3 linked regions of the Anolis sagrei genome follow. The protein of the gene in region 2 interacts with the protein of the main gene of each other region in a biochemical or structural test. Links are inferred from orthologs where the notes say so. Each region holds a gene or a part of one and is shown on either strand. Other genes may lie near its edges.

What was found.
Region 1: the proteins of GIPC1 (region 2) and RGS19 form a complex in vitro, tested with the Homo sapiens proteins (2 studies listed by BioGRID). The link is inferred for Anolis sagrei from reciprocal best matches to the Homo sapiens genes GIPC1 and RGS19.
Region 3: the proteins of GIPC1 (region 2) and LRP2 form a complex in vitro, tested with the Homo sapiens proteins (2 studies listed by BioGRID). The link is inferred for Anolis sagrei from reciprocal best matches to the Homo sapiens genes GIPC1 and LRP2.

The regions. Positions count from the first base shown.
Region 1 is NC_090024.1:237,536,110-237,544,769, reverse strand, and holds the start of RGS19 (regulator of G-protein signaling 19), read right to left. Parts: upstream 3,682-8,660; 5' UTR 3,305-3,681; intron 1-3,304. UniProt on the Homo sapiens protein: Inhibits signal transduction by increasing the GTPase activity of G protein alpha subunits thereby driving them into their inactive GDP-bound form. Binds to G-alpha subfamily 1 members, with the order G(i)a3 > G(i)a1 > G(o)a >> G(z)a/G(i)a2.
Region 2 is NC_090022.1:128,028,175-128,036,198, reverse strand, and holds the start of GIPC1 (PDZ domain-containing protein GIPC1), read right to left. Parts: upstream 3,705-8,024; 5' UTR 3,601-3,704; intron 1-3,600. UniProt on the Homo sapiens protein: May be involved in G protein-linked signaling.
Region 3 is NC_090021.1:195,060,908-195,068,654, reverse strand, and holds the start of LRP2 (low-density lipoprotein receptor-related protein 2), read right to left. Parts: upstream 3,515-7,747; 5' UTR 3,459-3,514; coding exon 3,383-3,458; intron 1-3,382. UniProt on the Homo sapiens protein: Multiligand endocytic receptor. Acts together with CUBN to mediate endocytosis of high-density lipoproteins. Mediates receptor-mediated uptake of polybasic drugs such as aprotinin, aminoglycosides and polymyxin B.

The sequences.
Region 1 (8,660 bases), on a different chromosome or scaffold from region 2:
GGTTCTGTGTGGGAAGTTTGGCCAATTCTATCGTTGGTGGGGTTCAGAATGTTCCTTGATTATTGGTAAACTATAAATCCCAGCAACGACAACTCCCAAGTGTCAAGGTCTATTTAACACATTTGGGCATATTGAGTATCCATGCTAAGTTTAATCCAGATCCACCATTGTTTGATTCCACAGTGCTCTCTTGGTGTAGGTGAACTACAACTCCAAAACTCAAGATCAATGCTCACCAAACACTTCCAGTATTTTCTGTTGACCATGGGAGTTCTGTGTGCCAAGTTTGGTTCAATTGCATCATTGATGGAGTTCAGCATGCTCTTTGATTGTAGGTGAACTATAAATCCCAGCAACTATAACTCCCAAATGACAAAACCAATCTCTCCCCTCCCCCCCGGCCCAACCCCACCAGTATTCAAATTTAGGAGTATTGGTTATTTGTGCCAAATTTGGTCCAGTGAATGAAAATACATCCTGCAAATCAGATATTTACATTGCGATTCATAACAGTAGCAAAATCACAGTCATGAAGTAGCAATTAAAATAATTTCATGGTTGGGGGTCACCACCACATGACAAACTGCATTAGGAAGGTTGAAAAACACGATATTGTTGAATGCATCTGGAACATGGCCATACAGCCGAGAAAATTCACACTGGGCCCTTCCACACACTGGGTTGTTGTGAGTTTTCCGGGCTGCCCTTCCACACAGTCCTATATCGCAGAAAATCCCACAATATCTGCTTGGAACTGGGGGCTCTTCCACACAGCCTTATATCCCAGGAATATCAAGGCAAAAAATCTCACAATATCGGCTTTGGACTGGATTATCTGAGTCCACACTCAGATAACGTGGGATTTCCTGCCTTGATATTCTGGGATAAAGGGCTGTGTGGAAGAGTTCTGCGTTATCTGAGTCCACACTCAGATAATGTGAGATTTCCTGTCTTGATATTCCAGTATATAGGGCTGTGTGGAAGGGCCCTGCATTATCTGAGTACACACTCATGTAATGTGGAATTTCCTGCTTTGATATTCTGGGCTATAGGACTGTGTGGAAGGGTTCTGTGTTATCTCTCCACACGCTGATAATGTGGGATTTTCCGCCTTGATATCCTGTGTGGAAGGGTCCTGCGTTATCTGAGTCCACACTCAGATAATGTGGGATTTCCTGCCTTGATATTCCAGGATATAAGGCTGTTCTGCATTATTTGAGTCCTCACTCAGATAATGTAGGATTTCCTGCCTTGATATTCCAGGATATAAGGCTGTTCTGCATTATCTGAGGCCTCACTCAGATAATGTAGGATTTTCTGCCTTGATATTCCGGGATATAGGGCTATGTGGAAGGGCCCTACGTTATCTCAATCCATACTCTGATAATATGAAATTTCCTGCCTTGATATCCTGTGTGGAAGGGTCCTGCATTATCTCAGTCCACAATCAGATAATGTGGAATTTCCTGACTTGATATTCCAGTATATAGGGCTGTGTGGAAGGGCCCTGCGTTATCTGAGTACACACTCATGTAATGTGGGATTTCCTGCTTTGATATTCTGGGATATAGGGCTGTGTAGAAGAGCCCTGTGTTATCTGTCGACACGCTGATAATGTGGGATTTTCTGTCTTGATATCCTGTGAGGAAGGGTCCTGCGTTATCTGAGTCCACACTCAGATAATGTGGGATTTCCTGCCTTGATATTCCAGGATATAGGGCTGTGTGGAAGGGGCCTGGATTATCTGAGTCCTCACTCAGATAATGTGGGATTTCCTGCCTTGATACCCTGTGTGGAAGGGTCCTGCATTATCTCAGTCCACATTCAGATAATGTGGGATTTTCTGCCTTGATATTCCGAGATATAGGGCTGTGTGGAAGAGTCCTACATTATCTCAGTCCACACTCAGATAATGTGGGATTTCCTGCCTTGATATTCCAGAATCTAAGGCTGTGTGGAAGGGCCCTGTGTTATCTCAGTCCACACTCAGATAATGTGGAATTTCCTGCCTTGATATCCTGGGAGATAAGGCTGTGTGGAAGGGTTCTGTGTTATCTGAGTCCACACTCAGATAATGTGGGATTTTCTGCCTTGATATCCTGGGAGATAAGGCTGTGTGGAAGGGCCCTGCGTTAGCTCAGTCCACACTCAGATAATGTGGGATTTCCTGCCTTGATATTCCAGGATATAAGGCTGTTCTGCGTTATCTGAGTCCTCACTCAGATAATGTAGGATTTTCTGCCTCAATATTCCGGGATATAGGGCTGTGTGGAAGGGCCCTGCGTTCTCTCAGTCCATACTCAGATAATGTGGGATTTCCTGCCATGATATCCTGTGTGGAAGGGTCCTGCGTTATCTGAGTACATACTCAGATAATGTGGGATTTCCTGCCTTGATATTCCAGGATAGAGGGCTGTGTGGAAGGCCCTACTGTTGTAAAGAGATGGATTTGCAAGACCAAAACTCCTGCGACTGGCCTTGTGAAGCCTCAGGCAGCCTTTGATCTGGTGGGTCCCCAGGTATTGCCCTCCAAGAGGCAAGGAAAGGAAGCCACCTGAATAAAAGGTTTGGGGTACAAGAAAGGTGACCCTTCAAGAGGAAGAAACTGGTTGCCCTGATGGGGTTCCTCCCAAAGGGATCTTAATGGCACTCAACGCCTTGCTCTGCCATCGCCCCAAACATCTCTCTCCTTTTTGCCTTGAGCCTCTTTGGCCAAACCTGGCACATGGCTCTCATTAGGAGCCAGCCTTGCAGACCATGGCATGCCTTCTTCCTACCTGGTAGGAACCTCAGGAAGAAGAGAAGGAGGGGGGTTCAAGGGGAGACCCCAAACCCAGGTCTTCCTCTCCCATTCCACGCCAGCAAGCTCTCCCTCCCTGTTTCCCCTCTATTGCAATCCGGCCGCACACTTGATGCATTCACCCGACAACACGCGCCTGCCTTTCCCTTCCTAAATTTAATACATTTGTGAATATATCTCTCCTTTGCAAGACTGTTTCTCCTTCGGCCCCTTCTCCCCTTCCCCTCGGCTTTGCCAAAGGGCCCAGGTCCCTTCCCAAGATACAGATGTAGCCAAACCTCATCCAAAAAGGAGAGGAAAAGCAGGAGAAGCAGCACAGGAAACTGAGGAAAAGGCGAGGGAGCCTCAGCCAGGTTGGATCCGATTTCACTCCCAAGGAAACACCTCCCTCCCCCCCCTCACCCCCCTCCCTTTTGCCCAATCCTGGGCAGAGTTGCCCTCTCCAATGGAGGTCCCTTTTGGCAAAGGCACTCAACCCAAACTCAGGGGGTTTTGGGGACTCACGTTTGGTGCATCCGAGATCCCTGCCGCACATCCGTCCCTTTTTCCCTTTCCAATCCCCTATTTTTTTCCTCCGCCGCCTCTTCTTTTTTAGCTCCCTTTTTGGGGAGGAAGAAGGGGTGCCAAGGGAGGAGGAAGAGGTGGAGGTGGGGAAGCCACTTGGAGAGAGAGGAAAAAAAATCAAAAAAAGGGGAAGAAAAATACTGGCTGGCAGGGTCTCTCCACTGCGCAGGCGTCCCCCAGCCCCGGCGATTGACTTCCGAAAGCAAAGGGCTGTTTTTTTGCACTTCCTTGCCTGCTCCGCTTTATTTATTTATATTTGGCAGGATCTGGGCGAGAAGGGGGGAAAAAAGGAGAAGGTCTTCCTTCTGCCCACCTCCGCTTGGCTGCTTTCCTCGGCCTTTCCCCGGTTGCAAGGCAATCCCAGGCGGGGAAAAAAAAAAAAAAAGAGAAGATGAGCCTTCATGCAGCTTGCAACAGCAGCCCAGAGGAGTCCAAGGAGGGGAAACACACTCACCTCTGCAATGCATCTCCTGACAGATTTTCTGTAGAATCAAAGAGTTGGAAGAGAGGCTGGATGGCCATCTGTCAGGGGTGATTTGAATGCAATATTCCTGCTTCATGGCAGGCTGGATGGCCATCTGTCAGGGGTGGTTTGAATGCAATATTCCTGCTTCTTGGCAGAATGGGGTTGGACTGGATGGCCCATGAGGTCTCTTCCAACTCTTTGATTCTATGATTCTATGAGACCTCGTGGGCCATCCAGTCCAACCCCATTCTGCCAAGAAGAAGGAAAATTGCGTTCAAAATACCCCCGACAGATGGCCATCCAGCCTCTGCTTAAAAGCCTCCAAAGAAGGAGCCTCCACCACACTCTGGGGTAGAGAGTTCCACTTCTCAACAGCTCTCACAGTCAGAAAGTTCTTCCTAATGTTCAGTAGTTTGTAGTTTGAAGCCATTAGAATCATAGAATCAAAGAGTTGGAAGAGACCTCATGGGCCATCCAGTCCAACCCCATTCTATTGGATTCAAAGCACCCCTGACAGATGGCCATCCAGCCTCTGTTTAAAAGCCTCCAAAGAAGGAGCCTCCACCACACTCCGGGGCAGAGAGTTCCACTGCTGAACAGCTCTCACAGTCAGGAAGTTCTTCCTCATGTTCAGATGGAATCTCCTCTCTTGTAGTTTGAAGCCATTGTTCCTTGTCCTAGTCTCCATGGAAGCAGTAAACAAGCTTGCTCCCTCCTCCCTGTGGCTTCCTCTCACATATTTATACATGGCTATCATATCTCCTCTCAGCCTTCTCTTCTTCAGGCTAAACATGCCGAGCTCCTTAAGCTGCTCCTCATAGGGCTTGTTCTCCAGACCCTTGATCATTTTAGTCGCTCTCCTCTGGACACATTCCAGCTTGTCAATATCTCTCTTGGATTGTGGTGCCCAGAATTGGACACAATATTCCAGGTGTGGTCTAACCAAAGCAGAATAGAGCATGGGGAGCACAACTTCCATGTTGCAACAAATAAGGTATAGGGTTTGCTCTCTAGAAGCCCAAGAAGGGTTTGGCTTGTTTCCTTATCCATACCTTGTATTTCATAGAATCATAGAATCAAAGAGTTGGAAGAGACCTCGTGGGCCATCCAGTCCAACCCCATTCTGCCAAGAAGCAGGAATATTGCATTCAAATCACCCCTGACAGATGGCCATCCAGCCCCTGTTTAAAAGCTTCCAAAGAAGGAGCCTCCACCACACTCTGAGACAGAGAGTTCCACTGCTGAACAGCTCTCACAGTCAGAAAGTTCTTCCTAATGTTCAGGTGGAATCGCCTTTTTTGTAGTTTGAAGCCATTGTTCCGTGTCCTAGTCTCCAGGGCAGCAGAAAACAAGCTTGCTCCCTCCTCCCTATGACTTTCTCTCACATATTTATACATGGCTATCATGTCTCCTCTCAGCCTTCTCTTCTTCTGGCTAAACATTCTCAGCTCTTTAAGCCACTCCTCATAGGGATCTTTAAGCCACTCCTCATAGGGCTGTTTAAAAGCTTCCAAAGAAGGAGCCTCCACCACACTCCAGGGCAGAGAGTTCCACTGCTGAACGGCTCTCACAGTCAGAAAGTTCTTCCTAATGTTCAGGTGACATCTCCTTCCTTGTAGTTTGAAGCCATTGTTCCGTGTCCTAGTCTCCAGGGCAGCAGAAAACAAGCTTGCTCCCTCCTCCCTGTGACTTCCTCTCACTTATTTATACATGGCTATTATGTCTAAAATGTGGAGGCCATGACAGACTGTATTTCTAGGTGCAAAGATTACTGCAGATGCAGAATGTAGCCTGGAAATCAGAAGACACTTACTTCTTGGGAGGAGAGCAATGTCCAATCTCAATAAAATAGTGAAGAGTGGAGACATCAGACTGGCAACGAAGATCCGCCTAGTCAAAGCCATGGTATTCCCTGTAGTCACCTACGGATGTGAGAGCTGGACCTTAGGGAAGGCTGAGCGAAGGAAGATCGATGCTTTTGAACTATGGTGCTGGAGGAAAGTTCTGAGAGTGCCTTGGACTGCGAGAAGATCCAACCAGTCCATCCTCCAGGAAATAAAGCCCGACTGCTCACTGGAGGGAAGGATACTAGAGACAAAGTTGAGGTCCTTTGGCCACATCATGAGGAGACAGGAAAGCCTAGAGAAGGGAATGATGCTGGGGAAAGTGGAAGGCAAAAGGAAGAGGGGCCGACCAAGGGCAAGATGGATGGATGGCATCCTTGAAGTGACTGGACTGACCTTGAAGGAGCTGGGGGTGGTGATGTCCGACAGGGAGCTCTGCCGTGGGCTGGTCCATGAGGTCACGAAGAGTCGGAGACGACTGAACGAATGAACAACAACAATCATGTCTCCTCTCAGCCTTCTCTTCTGCAGGCTAAACATGCCCAGCTCTTTAAGCCGCTCCTCATAGGGCTTGTTCTCCAGACCCTTGATCATTTTAGTCGCCCTCCTCTGGACACATTCCATCTTATCAGCATCTTCCTTCAAATGGGTTTTCCCCCTTCCAAAACAGATTTCTTCTTGCAAAAGCAATATGAATGTCCGACATGCCAACAACCTGGGGCCTCCTGCCTAGTGGAACCATCCCTACAGAAACAATACACTTCTGGAATGAATGAATGAATGAATGATGGGTCTACAATACCCGAAAGGCAGCAGATCCCATCTGATCTTGGAGGCTGAGTCCTCTTCCACACAGCTGTATAAAATCCACATTGAATTGGATTATATGGCAATCTGTACTCAGATAATCCAGCTCAAAGCAGATATTGTGGATTATTTGCCTTGATGTTCTGGGTTATATGGTTGTGTAGAAGGGCTCTTAGCCTTAGATGGAAGACTAAGGATCATTTTAGTCGCCCTCCTCGACACATTGCAACTTGTCAACATCTCCCTTCAATAATGGTGCCCAGAAGTGGACGCAATATTCCAGATGTGGTCTAACCTTGTCTTCCTTCCTTCCTTCCCTTCCCCTTCCCCTTCCTGCCTCCCTCCCTCCCTCCCTCCCTTCCCCCCTCCCTCCCTCCCTTCCCCCCTTATCTCTCCATGGGAAGTTACTCCTGCATGGCCAGGCACTTTCCCTCTGCCGTTTGGACTTGCTTCTGAGTTGTCTTGGATCTTAATCTTGGATCAAGGATGGAGAACCCTTTTCATACCTAGTTGGGAGAGCTGCTGGGCTTTTGAGATTGTACAAGAACATCCGGTATATAAAAGACCGGTATATAAAAGTTCTAAATAAATAAATAAATAAATTTCCATTTCTAAGCTGAAGAGCCGGCGTTGTCCATAGACACCTCCAAGGTCATGTTGGCTGGTATGACTGCATGGAGCACAATTACCTTCCCGCAGACGGTACCTATTGATCTACTCACATTTGCATGTTTTCAAACTGCTAGGTTGGCAGGAGCTGGGGCTAACAGCGGGAGTTCACACCGCTCCCCGGATTCAAACTTGTAACCTTTCGATCACAAAGTTCAGCAACTCAGCACTTTAACCCATTTTGCCACTGAGGGCTCCTAGAGGTATATATGGCTTTCCCATCTTCGGCATCTTGGAGGTTGTGCTCGATTCTGGCCACAGGGGGTGCTCTTGCTCCATCCAATATGCCAAAGAGCCCTGTCCACAGACTTCCTCCTTTGATTGAATAGCCTGCATTTCATATATATATATATTTCCTTATGGTGCCATGTAATATACCTTCCAAATTAAGCGGTACCTATTTATCTACTTGGGCCCCCTTGGTGATGCAGCGGGTTAAACCACTTAGCTGCTGAACTTGCTGACCAAAAAGTGTGCGGTTCACATCCGGAGAGCGGAGTGAACTCTCACTGTTAGGCCCAGTTTCTGCCAACCTAGCCGTTTGAACACATGCAAATGTGAGCAGATCAATAGTTACCGCTTCTGCGAGAAGGCTACGGTGCTTCATGCAGTCATGCTGGCCACATGACCTTGGAGGTATCTATGAACAATGCAGGCTCTTTGGCTTAGAAATGGAATTGAGCACCATCCCCAGAGTCAGACACGACTAGACTGTATGCCAGGGGAAACCTTTACCTTTTTATTTATCTACTCAGAGTTTTTTTTTATCTGCTAGGTGGGCAGTGAGCTGAGCTGAAGGTCACGCTTCAAACTGCCAACCTTTCAATTGGCAAGATTTATTTCAGCTGTGGGTTAACCTACTGTGCTAAATGAGCATGTGAAGTGTGCTTTTTCCACGGAAGAGTCTTTAGGGAAAATTCTGCATGGCAATATTTGTGGGGGGGGGGGGGGGGGAGTGAAATGCACAATTGGCAGAAGATTGGATTGGATAGCCCTTGTGGATGGCCCACAGCTATGATTCTGTGATAGAATGAGTGACACCTGGCTTGAAAACAGTCCATTTGAAAGGAATCTAGGAGTCGATGTAGATTCTAAACATGTCAACAGTATGATGCGGTAGCTAAAAAAGCCAATGTGATTTTAGGCTGCATCGATAATATAATGTCCTGTCCAGATTGAGGGAAGTACAGGCCGACTCTATTCCACCTCAATCATGCCTCACTGGGAATAACGGGGCGAATTACAGAACACATATACAGCAAATATTTAATGTTGCTATACAATTGACAAGGACAGACCATACATAAACAGAGCTTTTCCCATCTTTTTCCATCTCTTGCATCTGGAGGCTGTGCTCGACTCAGGCCACAGGAAGGTGCTGTCGCTCCATCTTCCATGCCAAGGAGCTTTGTTGTCTGTAGATGACCTTTCAATCAAATTGTTGGCATGTCCTTATGGGTACGTTGTATTACCTTCCCCTTTTAAACCGGTACTTATTTATCTATATTGC
Region 2 (8,024 bases):
TCCATCTTTCAATTATTGGAAGGCCTTTCAGACCTCTATTTTCAATTACCCAGAAATCATCTTCTGCATCTCCATGAAACTCTTGGCAACTATCAAGGCTAGGAATCCACATTTGACTGAGTGACTCCCAGTCAATTTTAGACTCTCCAGTAACCAGAGTTTTGTGGCTATGCAGTATATATTAAAATGTAAAACACAAACAATAATTAGAAACCAGATGTAACACAACAACAGTGCACAAAAGCAAAACAAGGCTGGTAGGAATAACCTTTTTTTAAAGACTTAGCTGAATAAAGGTTTCTCCTTAAGACCTAAGATGACATTGTGGAAGAAAGCAGAACTCTCTGAAAAAGCCATTCATAGACAGGGTGCCAACACTAAAGAGCTATTTTCTCTAACAGCTACACTCATTTGTCAAGAACAGGAGGGAAACAAGTTCTAGAGCTGAGGTTTGGCTTTGTTTATGTGTTCCTACATGGCAGGGAGGTATTTGACTGGATGGCTCTTGTGGTATCTTGCAATTCTATGATTCTAGATCATGAGAGGTGACACTTCTCTACAAAAGTGTACTCAGACCATATAGGGCTTTCAATAATAAAAATTACCATGCTTACTTTTAAAGACCAGCCACTGAAAGTCTCAGAGTGCCCAACATCATATCACTGGCATTTGAACTCAAGTTTTCAGGTTTCAAACAGCTTTGGCTACAGACGAAACCTGCCAAATATTAGGTATGTGCCAAGTGCTGAGTTTATCTCTGAAAAGCAGTGGGTAGATGTGGGAGAATATTGCATGCTGGAGGGGCTTAGACAAAAAAAAATTACCCCTGAGAAGCAGCTGAAGAAGAGCAAATGGTCAATTGTTCAACAGCAACTAGGCCTCGTGTATTTTTCTCTGACACTGGGTGTATTTATACCAGGCATGGGCAAACTTCGGCCCTCCAGGTGTTTTGGACTTCAACTCCCAGAATTGTGGGAGTTGAAGTCCAAAACACCTGTAGGGCCAAAGTTTGCCCATGCCTGAGCTATACTGTAGAATTAATGCAGACTGACATGACTGTAACTTAAATGGCTCAATGCAATGGAATTGTGGAAGTTGTAGTTTTACAAGGTCTTGAGCCTTCTCTGCCAAAGAGAGTTGGAGCCTAACCAAACTACAACTCCTAGGATACCATAGCACTTAAAAGGGTATCAAACTATGAATCCCGAGGCAAACCTAAACTAAGTAGAAAAATCTGGTTATACCCAACACCACACCTTACAGAGCCAAACACGTGCCAGAAAACACAGAGTATCTGCAGAATGAGGGGAAAGGGCTAAGCAGAATAACAAACAGATTAATACAAGTGGCATGTGATTTTTTTCCCTTGTTTCTTAGCTCCCTATGAAAACACTAATGCCACAGTAGAAGGATATTAGATAGCACACAGCAAGCAGGAAAGTATGCTTCCTTTGTTGCTTGGCATTTGGGTGTTGCTACCAGGTTACCCTCAATACCTACACTACAGTAAAAGGAAAACAAAGTCAGTGTAAGGACTGAACTATCCCTCCCATTGCACTGGAGATCCCAAGAGGAAACCTGCCATCAAAACACCATGTACCAGGAAGAACAAGGCAAACAGGCAACAGTCAAAGACCTAAATATATTTTGAACAAGGGGAGACTCAAAAACATTTGGCCCTCCAGATGTTTTGATTTCTACTCCCACAATTCCTAACAGTCTACCGGCTATTTGGAATTATGGGAGTTTGAGAGCCAAAGTTTGCTCATGTCTGCTCTAAAAGACCTACCTGTTAAAAACTCTAGGACCATAAAACATATGGAAACATCCTCCAGTGGTTCCCAAACTTTGGTCCTCTGGGGGAGCAGCTACACTGTTGAATTACTGTATATACTCGAGTATAAGCCTAGTCTTTCAGTCCTTTTTTAGGTTGACAAAGCCCCCCTCAGCTTATACTCAGGTGAAGGTCCTAGTGGGAAGGCATGGGGCTGAAAGGACCCTCACATCTCTGCACACCAACCCAGCTCTCCTTCCTCTCCTCCTCTCTCGGCACAGCACGCGCCTTCCCCTCCTCCTCCCTTGGCACCAGTCTTTTCCTCTTTTCCTTATTCATACACACACAGCATTTTCCCCAAGATGTATGGTTAAAATAAACTACGGAGATTATTGAAAAGGATATGTAAGCATACTTACATTGAATAAGGTTAGAATAATGATTTAATCAGAGTTGGACAGTCTTATCTTAAATTACAGTTTTATGTAAATACTGTATTCAAAATCATTTAACCTACTGATGCCTCCATTAATGTAATTTTATTTGTACCTTTTTAAAAAAAATTACTAGTGGCTGCTGCATTTCCCACCCTTAGCTTAAGGTAAAGGTTTCCCCTGACATCAAGTCTAGTCGTGTCTGACTCTGGGGAGTGGTGCTCATCTCCATTTCTAAGACAAAGAGCCAGCGTTGTCCATAGATGCCTCCAAGGTCATGTGGCCGGCATGACTGCATGGCGCGCAGTTACCTTCCCGCAGAAGTGGTACTTATTGATACACTCACATTTGCATGTTTTTGAACTGCTAGGTTGGCAGTAGCAGGACCTAACAGAGGGAGCTTACCCTGCTCCCTGGATTTGAACAACCAGCCTTTCGGTCAGCAAGTTCAGGGGCTCAGCAGTTTAATGCCCTTGGCTTATACTTCAGTCAATAAGTTTCCCCAGTTTTTGTGGTAAAATCAGGTGCCTTGGCTTATATTTGGGTCAGCTTATACTCGAGTATATATAGGTAATACACTTGCCACCACTTTAATACTATGGCTCAATGCTATGGGATCCTGGGTTTGTAGTTTGATGAGGTATGAATGCTCTTTGACAGAGAATGCAGAAGACCTTGTGAAGCTTCAGCTCCCAGGAGCCCAAAGACACTCTGAGTCCCCCCAGAGATGAGAAAGGCGGTATATAAATGCTGTAAATAAATAAATAGCCACTTCAGTTAAAGTGGTGTCAAACTGCATTCATTCCTTGGTGTAGATACACCCCAGATATCTCCCAGCCAGGAATGCTGGGAGTCGCAATACACCAGAAGGATCCAAGATTGGGAATTCTAGTCCTAGAGGGAAACTTCCCATGTAATAAAATAAACAAAAACTTTCAATACATGACAGTGATGTGTGCGAGCATGGACTATAAACTCCATCCAACCCTCTTTCCTGAAAGTGGGAGGGAAAGGCAAAGAAAAGGCGTGAGAGAAAGGAAAACAAACTCCAACTGGGGCGGGGGGGGGGGTGTCATGTGACTTTGTGACAAGGCAGAACTTCATTCAAAGAACCCAGCAACCATGGCTTTGGCTCCAACGAAGTGGAAGTCCCTCAGGGCAAAACATGACTACTAAAGGAGGCCTTCCTGGGGTCTCCTTCCCACGAATGTCGTCGTATCCAAGCAACCGGGACTGGGTTTCCTGCATGTGCGAACAGGCACGCAGCTTACGGGTTTGAGGGAGGGAAGCGTGAGGAGCCGGGACTCCTGAGCTCTGCCTTTCCGTCTACAAAAGACCCGTCTTGGCCCCTTCCTGCCCCTGGACCCCGTTCTCCCCGCCGCCTCTCCTTACCCGCGTCCGTTTCCTCGCCGGGCCCGTCCCTCAAGCCAACTCCAGCCCCGCGCAGACAGGCCTGTCCGTCAGCGATGGGCGGGACCGAAACGCCGTGCCTCCTGGCCAATCCCAGCGCGTTTCGCATTCTTCCCTGGCAAATCACAGGGTTAAGGCGGACGTTGAGGGCGTTTCACGGCAGGTCCCTTCCTTCTTCTCTTTCGCCTCTCTCCCCCATAAAGGTGCAATGGAAGGGGCGGGATTGGAGGCGGGGAAAGAAGAGCGCGAGGGAGCGGGGCATACCAATCTTGAAAAGGGGAGGGCCATTCAAAGAATGCGCCGGCTTCCCAGCCCCGAAAGTTACGTTTGGTTCGTGCTTGTGCCCTCGCAGCCTCTACTGGCCAATCGCTGTCACTACAGCCTTCTGGAAGCAATAACAAGGCCGAAAGCTGGGCGTGGTCTGAGCCAGAGGCGACCCATCTGTTCTGTTCTCAGGAAGGGAAGGGCCTGTTGGTGGGGCGCGGCCAGAGTCAACGCAGGTCGGAAAGCTGCGCGCGCAGGCGCATCCGGCTAATGGCAAGCGACCTTGTGTATCCGCGGATTCAGTCATCCGCGCCTGAAAATTATTTATTTATTTACGACATTTATATGCCGCCCTTCTCACCCAGAAAGGACACTCAGAGAGGTTTACAAGATATATATACATACAATATATTATATTATTAGCATAGTACAATATCAGTATCATATTGGCGGATCTGGTCACCTCCAGATTGGACTACTGTAATGCACTCTACGTGGGGCTACCCTTGAAAACGGCCCGGTAATTTCAATTGGTTCAACGAGCGGCGGCCAGGTTGTTAACTGGAGCTCCTTACAGGGAGTGGTCAACCCTCCTGTTTAAGGAGCTCCATTGGCTGCCGTTCATTTACCGGTCCCAATTCAAGGTGCAGGTGCTTATCTACAAAGCCCTAAACGGTTTGCGACCTGCCTACCTGCGTGACCGTATCTCTGTGTACGAACCCACACGATCTGTTCGATCTTCTGGAGAGGCCCTGCTCACGCTCCCACCACCATCGCAAGCGCGATTGGTGGGGACGAGGGAGAGAGCCTTCTCGGTGGTGGCCCCTCGACTCTGGAACTCACTTCCCAAGGACATTAGGCAAGCCCCAACTCTGGCAGTCTTTAGGAGGAGCCTGAAAACGTGGCTGTTTCAGTGTGCCTTCCCAGAATAAGGAAACTCCCAGCAATATGTCCCTAAACGCACTTTAATAATGATTTAAGATTGTCTGCACATTTCTTCCCTCTCCAAAATTTCTATCCCAGTTACATGTCACCTTGTCATGCTCAGCATTATTTTTTAATTTTTTAATTATTAAATTTGGCCGGGCCATAGGTTTTTAAATACGTTGTGTTATTGTTAATGTTTATTGTTTATTTTTGCTTATGAGTTTATTTATTGTTTTGTATTGTTGATATTATTGTTTATTGTTGTATTGTGGGCTCGGCCTCATGTAAGCCGCACCGAGTCCCTTGGGGAGATGGTAGTGGGGTACAAATAAAGTGTTATTATTATATATATTACTATATTGTACTATACTATTACATTGTAATATTATTAGTAATATTACATGTAATATAAAATATATAATTATAATATCATATTATTATTATATTGTATTACATTATAATACTATAAATATTATATGTATATATACAATATATTATATTACGTTTCATTATATTATTAGCATAGCACAGGAGACAAGATGGAACTGTTCCCTGCCCCCCCCCCCCCCTCTTCACTCTGGCCCAGAGCGGCAGTTGGTGCTGGGGGGAGGGGTCCCCCAGAAAAGACATTTGAATTGCTGTCTAATTCAAAATACTATCCAAATTATAATGCTTGCTGTCACATTATAAATTATAATGTGACAAGGATCCCCGGGTTGAGGTTGCCTTCTTTCGGGGGACTACCTCTTCTTCTTTGGATAATATTTTGAATTGGATAGCAATTTGAACTATTTGGACTTTATGTGGACTGCATTTTGAAGACAGTTTGCTTTTTGTGTGTGTTTTAATTGAAAGCTTAGTATTATACTTTTCTCTGTAGGTAACTCACCCACCCTCCTCCAGCTTCAGAAGTTATTAAAATGCTAGTTTGGCAGATCAAGTTAAGTGTAATTCCCTGTACCACTATTTTTAATGTATCAGAGGTTGCCAGTTATTAATATTGATGACACCTGGTTGCCTAAGAAATATCTATTGAAATTAGTGGGTTTAGTCACATCTAGGTCTCTTGACACTCCCAGGAGGTAGATTAAACAAGTGTTACTTAACCCGTCTGAGGTGAGCCAGGGACTAGCATTTTATGTGTGCCCATTTACTACAGCTGTTCCTTTCCTAGCAATTTGTGAGCCAGCACCTGCCTTTGGACCATGACAAGGAGCAGTGCTGCATTAGACAATAAGGCATACAAGGACTCCCAGCAGCCCCAAGTACCATAGTGAATCTTGCGGAGAGTTACTATTCAGCAGCATCAAAACAACCACTGAATAAGTGCATGGCCTATGGTATGCATGGACAATGAGTGAGTAGCCCCTTTTCCTTGAGCTTCGGAAGGTCTTTTGACCAGACCACCTAAGGTATGGAGCTCATGGACATGGTAATGACTTGACACAAAGGACATTTTCCCCAACCATGAGGGGAAGGGGATGTCACAGCCATTCCCTGTCCCAGAAGATCCAAGATCTTATCAAATAAACCAATATCACCGAACCTTTTGATAATGGATTGGATCTTCGGGGCCAAACAAAGATGTTGTTTCCATATTCTACACTGACATCAGAGCCAATCACAGCAAAGCTGTCTCGGGGTGGGTGTGGGAAATTTGGATTTGACAGTTCTATATATTCTGTATTGGCCTGCCCAAAAAGCATGTTGGCTTCTTGGCAGATTACTTTCCACCTGGAATAGAAAATAAACTTCTGTGGCCTTGTTTCATCCTGGTGAGATTTATTTGGAAATAGGGAAAGTTTGGTTGGTGCTTATTGTTTACCCAGGCTTATTGAGCCCTCCTTTTGGGTCCTCTCCAGCCTCTGCTCATGGAGGGCCCCCTAAAATCGTGCTCTGCTTCAACAGGGTGAAGGCAAGAACCAGAGGTTTATTCACTTTGGCCGAATGTAGATGTCAGGGAAGAAGTGCTCCCAAATCAGACATAAAGCCAATGGATACATACATAGATACATAAATGTCTCTAAGAAACATTTATTAGAGACTTGACAGCAATTCAAATAATGGACTTTTGCTGCTCCGGGTGCTGATTGATATAGGTTACGATCTGTGTGCTGATTGGTGGAGGAGCACCGCCTGCTGCTGCAGCTGATTACTTCCCCAGTCTAACTAGTTCCTCAGTCTAGTTCCCCAGTCTGTCAGAAATTAAATTGTTATTGTCCAGTTTGAAGCTTGTGATTGTTTTGCGTGTCCGCCTTTGGGTGCTTAAAGGAAAGGAATGTGGGCAAGGTCCAGGACTGATGAGTTTTCATGGTTTTTAATTCTGTCAGTGATCTCACAATAGAAAATAATGGGTGCCAAAACACCCAGGGAGAGACAAAGACAGCATGCTGACCTTTCAGGCTGGCCATTGTTAGGTGGAGTTCAATGTTAGCCAGGAAGGATTAGCACCAAGTGATTGTTTGAACCACCAGGAAGAGTAATGAAATTAGCCCTGGCTGTCCGTCCCCCCCCCCCCCTTCCAGGAGTGCTTGTGTAACTGTGTGTAAATGTGGTAAAGTTTATCCTTTAATGTCAGCCAGTGGGACCCTTCGTGGCCATCTAGTCAGACCTCTCTTGGTTGTGGGTTTTGGGGTTATAGTTTCAATAACAAGCCCACAGGGCTTTCTTAAGAAAGGAATATCCAGACATCATTTGACAGTTCCTTCTCCTAAAATATAGCCTACAGCGCCTAATATTTATTGCTGCTGTCCCATCCAAGTAGTAACTAGAGGTGATTCTACTTTATTTTACAAGTAGATTCCAGAATCAGACAGAATCTGGTGCCATTAAAGTATTTAAACGCTATATGCCTTTGAGATAAAATGCTTGGCTTAAGATGTGATTGAGACTTTTCTGTTGCAGACATGCGAGAAGCTCTAAATTGTATGCTCAGATTAGAGGTTTTACTCACAAAAAACTAGCCTATAGGAATGAAAAGTGCTAGCTAGAACTGAACCTTATTGAGCAAGTTTTCGTCAATATGGTTAAAATTTCCAATACAAAGCTACTGAAAGCAGTGGTCTATGGAATTGTGTCAATCCACAGAAACGTTCCAGGAAAGAAAGAAAAAAAAATCAATGGGCTTATATATAGTGCTAGTCTTTGGCACACTGGGAAACAAACAGCCTGCCACTCCCATGTATCAGAGAGCTTAACGGGTACTGCTCTAGAAC
Region 3 (7,747 bases), on a different chromosome or scaffold from region 2:
GTACCTGAAGTTGCCTCAGATTGAGCCAGCCCAGAAAACTGGAGGCCAAAAATAAAAGCGGAGGCACTGCAGTTGTTTTCCCGACAGCACAAATTGCATTCAAAGCTGCAGCCAGATATTTAGTCTGGATTAAGACTAAAGGTTTTCCCCAACATTAAGTCTAGTAGTGTTAGACTCTGGGGATTAGTGCTCATCTCCATTTCTAAGACGAAGAGCTGGTGTTGTCCATAGACACCTCCAAGATCATGTAGCCAGCATGACTTCATGGAGTGCCGTTATCTTCCTGCCAAGGCAATACCTATTGATCTATTCTCATCTGCATGTTTTTGAACTGCTAGTTTGGCAGAAGCTGGGACTAACAGCGGGAGCTCACCACGCTCCCCAGATTCAAACTGCCAACCTCTTGGTCAGCAAGTTCGGCAGCTCAGTGGCTTAACCTGCTGTGCCACCGGAAGCTCCTTTAGTCTGAATTATCAATATGCAAAGAGATCTTGCATACAATTTCCTAGATTTAAGTTCTTCTCCATCACATGTATGGAATGAAAGCAGTTTACTTCATATGATTTCCTAAGATTTAAGGGGCGGGGTTTTTTATAACACATATGGAGTGAAAGAAGTTGGACGCATACGCTTATGGATACTTATCCTTCATACATGGAGTGAGAGAAAGAATTTGGTAGCATAGGATTTTCCAGATTTAAGTCATCTTCATCACATGCATGGAGTGAGAGGAAGAAGTTGGTAGCCTACATTTGGGGGAATTAAAGATTTCAGGAGCCCCCAGTTGCACAGTGGGTTAAACCGCTGAGCTGCTGAACTTGCTGACCAAAAGGTCACAGGTTCATATCTGAGGAGCAGGATGAGCTCACACTGTTAGCCCCAGCTTCTGCCAACTTAGCAGTTCGAAAACATGCAAATGTGAGTAGATCAATAGATACTGCTCTGGTGTCAAAGTAATGGTACTCTATGCAGTCCTGCTGGCCACATGACCTTGGAGGTGTCTACTGACAACACCGGCTCTTCGGCTTTGAAATGGATATGAGCACCAACTCCCAGAGTCGGACATGACTGGATTTAATGTCAGGGGAAAACCTTTACCTTTATCCTAAATATTTCTTCATTATACACAATGAGAAAAAGAAGTTGGTGGCACAGAGGTCTTCTTTGGGCCCTTCCAGACAGGCCGTATAACCCAGGATCTGATTCCAGGTTTTCTGTTTATCCCAGATTATCTGGCAATGTGGACTCATATAATCCAGTTTAAAGCAGAAAACCTGGGATCAGATCCTGGGATATAGGGTTTGTCTGGAAGGGCCCTTTGTTGCATGTATGGAGAGGAAGAAATTCCTAACCTAGGCTTTCAGAAACTTAAATCATCATTACATGCATTTGGTGAAAGAATGAAGTTGGTAGTGTCAGCTTTTGGAGACTTTAAGCTTGTAAATTCCATGTATGGAGTGAGAAAAAGAAGCTGAGAACATACCCTTTTGTATTACTATATCTACTGCATCACATGCATGGAGTGAGAATAAGAAGCTAGTGGCATCACTTTGAAAGGTTTATGCTACCGACTTCTTCCTCTCACTCTCAAAGGCGGTATCAGATCCCTTTGCGTACAAAACTGATTGATAACATAACATGATTTTTGTTCCTGGGTTAGAAATGTCATTTCCTAACTGGTTCTATCATAAAAACACTGAAAAGGTTCTTTAAACTGCAAAAACTTTGTTGTTGTGAGACATCCTGTAGCACATTTTGCTTTAGCTTTTCAATCGAGACTCAACCGATTCAACATAATTTGTGGCAGCCACAAAAACAAAGTTTCTGGAGTATAACAACTACTTTCAAAGTACGCACCACACTGGAAATATTAACAGAAACTGTCAGAGCGTGTGGCGAGAGGGTTAATTCAGACACCTCACCTCTCCCTCGAGATCTTTAAACTACTATTTGAAAATTTCACATTACACACACACATTGCTCTAACAGAAACTGTGTTGTTGAAGGCTTTGATGGCCAGAATCACTGGGTTGCTGTGAGTTTTCTGGGCTATATGGCCATGTTCCAGAAGCATTCTCTCCTGACATTTCACCTACATCTATGGGAGGCATCCTCAGAGGTTGTGAGGTCTGTTGGAAACTAGGCAAGTGAGATTTATATATATATGTGTGTGTGTGGAATGTTCGGGGTGGGAGAAAGAACTTCTGTCTACTTGAGACAAGTGTGAATGTTGCAATTGGCCACCTTGATTAGCACTCAATAGCCACGCAGCTTCAAAGCCTGGCTGGCTGCTACCTGGGAGGGGTTCCTTTGTTGGGGGGTGTTAGCTGGCCCTGACTGATTCTTATCTAGAATTCCCCTGCTTTTTGAGTGTTGCTCTTTATTTACTGTCCTGATTTTAGAGTTTTAGATGTGGGTGCCTCTGGGGATGCCTGTCATAGATCTGGGCGAAATATCAAAAGAGAATGCTTCTGGAACATGGCCGGACAGCTCTGAAAACTCACAGCATATTTACTGTCCTGGTTTTAGAGTTTTAGGTGTGGATGCCTCTGGGGATGCCTGCCATAGATCTGGGCGAAATATCAGAAGAGAATGCTTCTGGAACATGGCCAGACAGCTCTGAAAACTCACAGCATATTTACTGTCCTGGTTTTAGAGTTTTAGGTATGGATGCCTCTGGGGATGCCTGCCATAGATCTGAGCGAAACATCAGGAGAGAATGCTTCTGGAACATGGCCACATAGCCCAGAAAACTCACAGCAACTCCCAAGAATAGGGATCCACTACCACCTATGAACCCACCACCAAGACACTAGACTTGGAGGATCATCATCATCATTGGGCAATGAGGGATAGCCTAAGAAAGCAACAGAAAATGTTTCATATTTTGATATAGATGATAGGTAGCATAACATATGTGTTTGTATGTAAGTGAACCTATTTCCCTTCCCTTCCCAATCCACTTTTTCCTCAAGGCTCCTTTGGCCGCAGAATTTGAGCTCAGTTTGAACTCCCCTCCATAAAGAGAGTGCCTGGTTGTATCTACACTGCAGAATGAATGCAGTTTGATCCCACTTTGCCTCTATGCTGTGAAGTCTTGGAGATGTAGCTTGGCGGGGCACCTGGAGCACCCTTTGGCAGAGACCTTGTCAAAAAAAACAACCCCCTGCCAGTGATCCAAGGCAGTTCAAATGGCATCAAACTACATCCATATGGGAAAGAAGACCCGCAAGGAAGGGAACCTGTTGCGCCTGGCTCTCCAGCTTGAAAGCGGACTGTCGAGGAAACTTTCCCACCCTTTCCCCGGTCCTGAAAGTGGGAGAAGAGCTCTGTACTGAGTCCAAAGCGTGTCCCTTGAGGGGGTGGGGGAAGCTTCTCTTACCTTGGCCCTGGGCTGGCCAGAAGAGGCAAGCGGCGAGGAAGAGGAGCACTCTCCACTCAGGGCCCGGGGCTCCCATCGGGGCTGCCGGGCTGATGCTGCTGCTGCTGCTGCTGCCCGGGAAGCGCTTCTCCTCTCTTTCTCTTTTCTCTTTTTTCTCTCTCTTCTTTCTCTCTTCCTCCTCCTCCTCCTCTTCCTCTGGGTCCCGCTACTTGGAGGAGAAAGGCGCGCTGCTCTTGAGCTGAGGCATCGCCTCCCCGCGACACTACTCCCAGCCTCCAGGCATTGCATAAAGCGCTTTATACCCGCCGGCCCCGGAACTAGCATGAGGTATGTGCACCTCCTTCTGCACTTTGCAACCCCCCTTCGGTCCCACTTCAGCCTCTGCCTTCTTTCCCCGCCGGAGAATCGGGCAGCACCCAACTCGAGGAAGACATCTTTCTCTCTCTTTCACACAGAGCTGACCGAGGCCACAAGGGTCATCCAGTCCAACCCCCTATCATGTCATGCAAAAAAAGAAAGAAAAGAAATCAGTGCAATGCAAAACGACAAGGCTGTTAGGAATGGTGGAAGTTCAAAACCAAATCCAAACCCAAAGTTTTTCCAGGCCTGATTTATCAACATTTCCCAAATGATCCCCATGGGTGGCTGAGGCCTCATCTTGAAAGTGCATTAGATGGTTCCTGTAGGGCAGGTATGGGCAAACTTTGACCCTTCAGGTGTTTTGGATTTCAACTCCCACCATTCCTAACAGCTGGAGAGCCAAAGTTTGTCCATGCCTGCTGTAGGCTCACATAATGCAGATTAATTAATTAGAAGGAGCCCCCGGTGGCGCAGTGGGTTAAACCCCTGTGCCGGCAGGACTGAAGACCGACAGGTCACAGGTTTGAATCCGGGGAGAGACGGATGAGCTCCCTCTATCAGCTCCAGCTCCTCATGCGGGGACATGAGAGAAGCCTCCCACAAGGATGATAAAACAGACATCCGGGCATTCCCTGGGCAATGTCCTTGCAGACAGCCAATTCTCTCACAACAGAAGCGACTTGCAGTTTCTCAGGTTGCTCCTGACACGACAAAAAAAAATTAATTAGAATCATATACAGTGTTCCCTCACTTATTGCGGGGGTTCCGTTTCAGGACCCCCGCAATAAGTGAAAATCCGCAAAGTAGGGACGTCACATTAATTTTAATATTTACACATTACAAGCTGTTCTCGCCACGCATTGCTGTGGCCAACTTTCTTCTTTCGCTCCTTTTTTTCTCTCATTCCTTCCCTCCCTCCCTCCTGCCTTCCTTCCCTTTTTTTTCTCTTTCCTTCTCTCCTTCCTTCTCTTCCTCTTCCCTTCCTCCCCCCCCCCCCACTTTTGCTTTCCCTTCCTCTTTCTCCCCTTTCTTCCTTCTCTACCTATTCTTGGACTGCAACTCCCAGCAGTCCTCCTGATCAATCTACCTACCTACCTATCTCCATCTAATCCAGTGGTTCCCAACCTGTGGTTCCCCAGGTGTTTTGGCCTACAACTCTCAGAAATCCCAGCCAGTTCACCAGCTGTTAGGATTTCTGGGAGTTAAAGGCCAAAACATCTGGGGACCCACAGGTTGAGAACCACTGATCTAATCTATCTATCTTATCTATCTGGAGGATTGCTGTGAGTTGCAGTCCAGGAATAGGGATAGGAAATTGGAAATATGCAGGGACTGGGATGCTCTCAAAGACATCTAAGGAGAAGAAAGCTTGCAGCTTGGAAGTAGTGCATTTGGATCATCCTCCTCTCCTAAAGGGCCTGGTCTAGGGGATGCTGGGAGCAGTAGTCCGGAAGAGAGTGTGGATATGCTATTGTGTGTTTTGTTTGCCCAGGGGAAGTCGTTTATGCACTTGTGCTGTAGCATCTTTTTGCTTTTTTGGCTTTTAACATCCCTTCCACTGTGTTTTTCAGTGTTTCTATGAATTATGGTCACTCATTGGCCTAATATGTGTATTGTGTCCAAATTTGGTGTCAATTTCTCCAGTGGTTTTTGAGTTATGTTAATTCCACAAACAAACATTACATTTTTATTTATATAGATTTTATATTTTTATATATATATATATATATATATATATATATATATATATACACATACACCTGCACTTCCTTACCCGTCTCCCATCCCATCCCAAGGGCGCGTGCCTGCCTCCCTGGCCTCCACAGACCCCTGCAGAGCCTCCAGAGCCATGCAGGCAACAGCAGGCCAGGGAGGCAGACCTTCCCTGCCATGCCTCAGGCTGCCACACTTCCAAGGTCCCTGGTCTCCACTGGACGTAAATATTTTATAATTTATATTAATATTTTCAAAAATCCACAAAACAGTGAGTCCGCTAAAAGCGAACCGTGAAGTAGCGAGGGAACACTGAGTTGGAAGAGATCTCACATGCCATTGAGTCCAACCCCATTCTGCCAAGAAGCAGAAAAACGTAATCAAAGCACCCTGACAGATAGCTGTCCAGACTCTGCAAAGAAGAAGCCTCCAGCACAGTCCAGGGCAGAGAGTTCCACTGCTGAACAGCTCTCACAGTCAGGAATTTATTCCTCATGATCAGGTGGAATCTCCTTTTCCTGTAATATGAACCCATTGCTTCAAATCCTAGTTTCCAGGTCAGCAGAAAACAATGCTATATGACTTCCCCTCACATATTTATACATGGCCATCATGTCTCTCTCGCTGCATTGATCTGCATTAGATCAGCTGTCACCGACCATATAATGAAGTTTCAGATTACATTACAGTGCAGATGGGGCCTGAGATAGTAACACCTTTGCTTTCTGATGGTTCAGTCTAGGCAAACTTGGATCTACACATTTTAGATGTGGAGCAACCTGTAATTTTTAACTGACTTGACTATGGAGGCTCCAACACACTATAACATGAATCCACAGGGATGCACCTACATTGTAGAATATAATGCATTTTTACACCACGTTGACTGTCAAGGTAAAAGGTTGGCGGTTTGAATCTGGGGAGTGGGGTAAACCCCACTGTTAGGCCCAGCTTCTGCCAACCTAGCAGTTCGAAAACATGCAAACGTGAGTAGATCAATAGGTACCACTTCGGCGGGAAGGTAATGGCACGCCATGCAGTTATGCCGGCCACATGACCTTGGAGGCGTCTACGGACAATGCCAGCTCTTCAGCTTAGAATGAAGATGAACACTACCTCCCAGAGTCAGACACTACTAGATTTAATTATAAGGAGAAACATTTACCTTTTTAAAACTGTCAAACCTCAATGCTGTGGAATCATGGGAGTTGTGGTTTTGCAAGCCTTCTCTGTTAAAGGGTGCAGCACTCTTTGGCATAGAAGGCTAAAGATCTTGTAAAACTACAGCTCTCGTGATTCCATATCACTGAGCCCTAGCAGTCACAAGTAGTGTCACTTCTACAGTGGAGATGCGTTCTAGAAATTCTCTCCTGCTGTTTTTGTTGGAAAATTATTGCCAACCAAGGCCCCTTCCACACAGCTGAATAAAATCGCACATTTTCTGCTTCAAACTGGGCTATATGGCAATGTGGACTCAGATAACCCAGTTCAAAGCAGAAATTGTGGGATTTTCTGTCTTGATATTCAGGAATATAAGGCTGTGTGGAAGGGCTCTTAGATGCCTGAACAGAAAGGCAGTAGCAAAATGCTAGGTGGTTGTTGTTGCCTTGCCTGTGTAACAGGTGGGATTGGAAGGTTGTGACATACAATATAAAAAGGACCTCTGAGGGCAAGACACTTATTTCTCTGCCGTTTTCTAACAGAGGATAGCAATGGCCATCCTTGTAATATTGTGATAATGACCAATATAATGTATATGAAGAGCTTTAAATACTCTAAAGCCTGAAACAAGTTTGTAGTATTATTAAAGCTCCTATCTCAATGGACGCACACCCATGTTTCCAAAATGTATGCAATTATGTAATTATCCAATTTTATTCCTCTGCGTCACTGACGACCTCTTACATATTTACAAACCAATTGTATTATTCCCAGTCTGCCTTAGAGTGACCTATGCTATTTACATCGCTCTCTCCCTTTTACCTTCATTCTTGTCCAAACAGGTGTTGATGTGGAAGCAGCACCTCCCTGTTGCTGGGATTGTAGACCTTGGATGTGCTCCTGTTCTCTCCCACTCCCCTGAAATGTAACCCAAAGTCTCCTTCACTGTACTAATAATATAATATAATATAATATATATTTTATATACATATAATATTTACTGTATAATGTTATAATAGAATACAGTATAATACTAATAATATATTATAACTATATATTTTATATTACATTTAATATTACTAATAATATTACAGTACACTGTTATAGTACAATATAGTAATATGTAATACT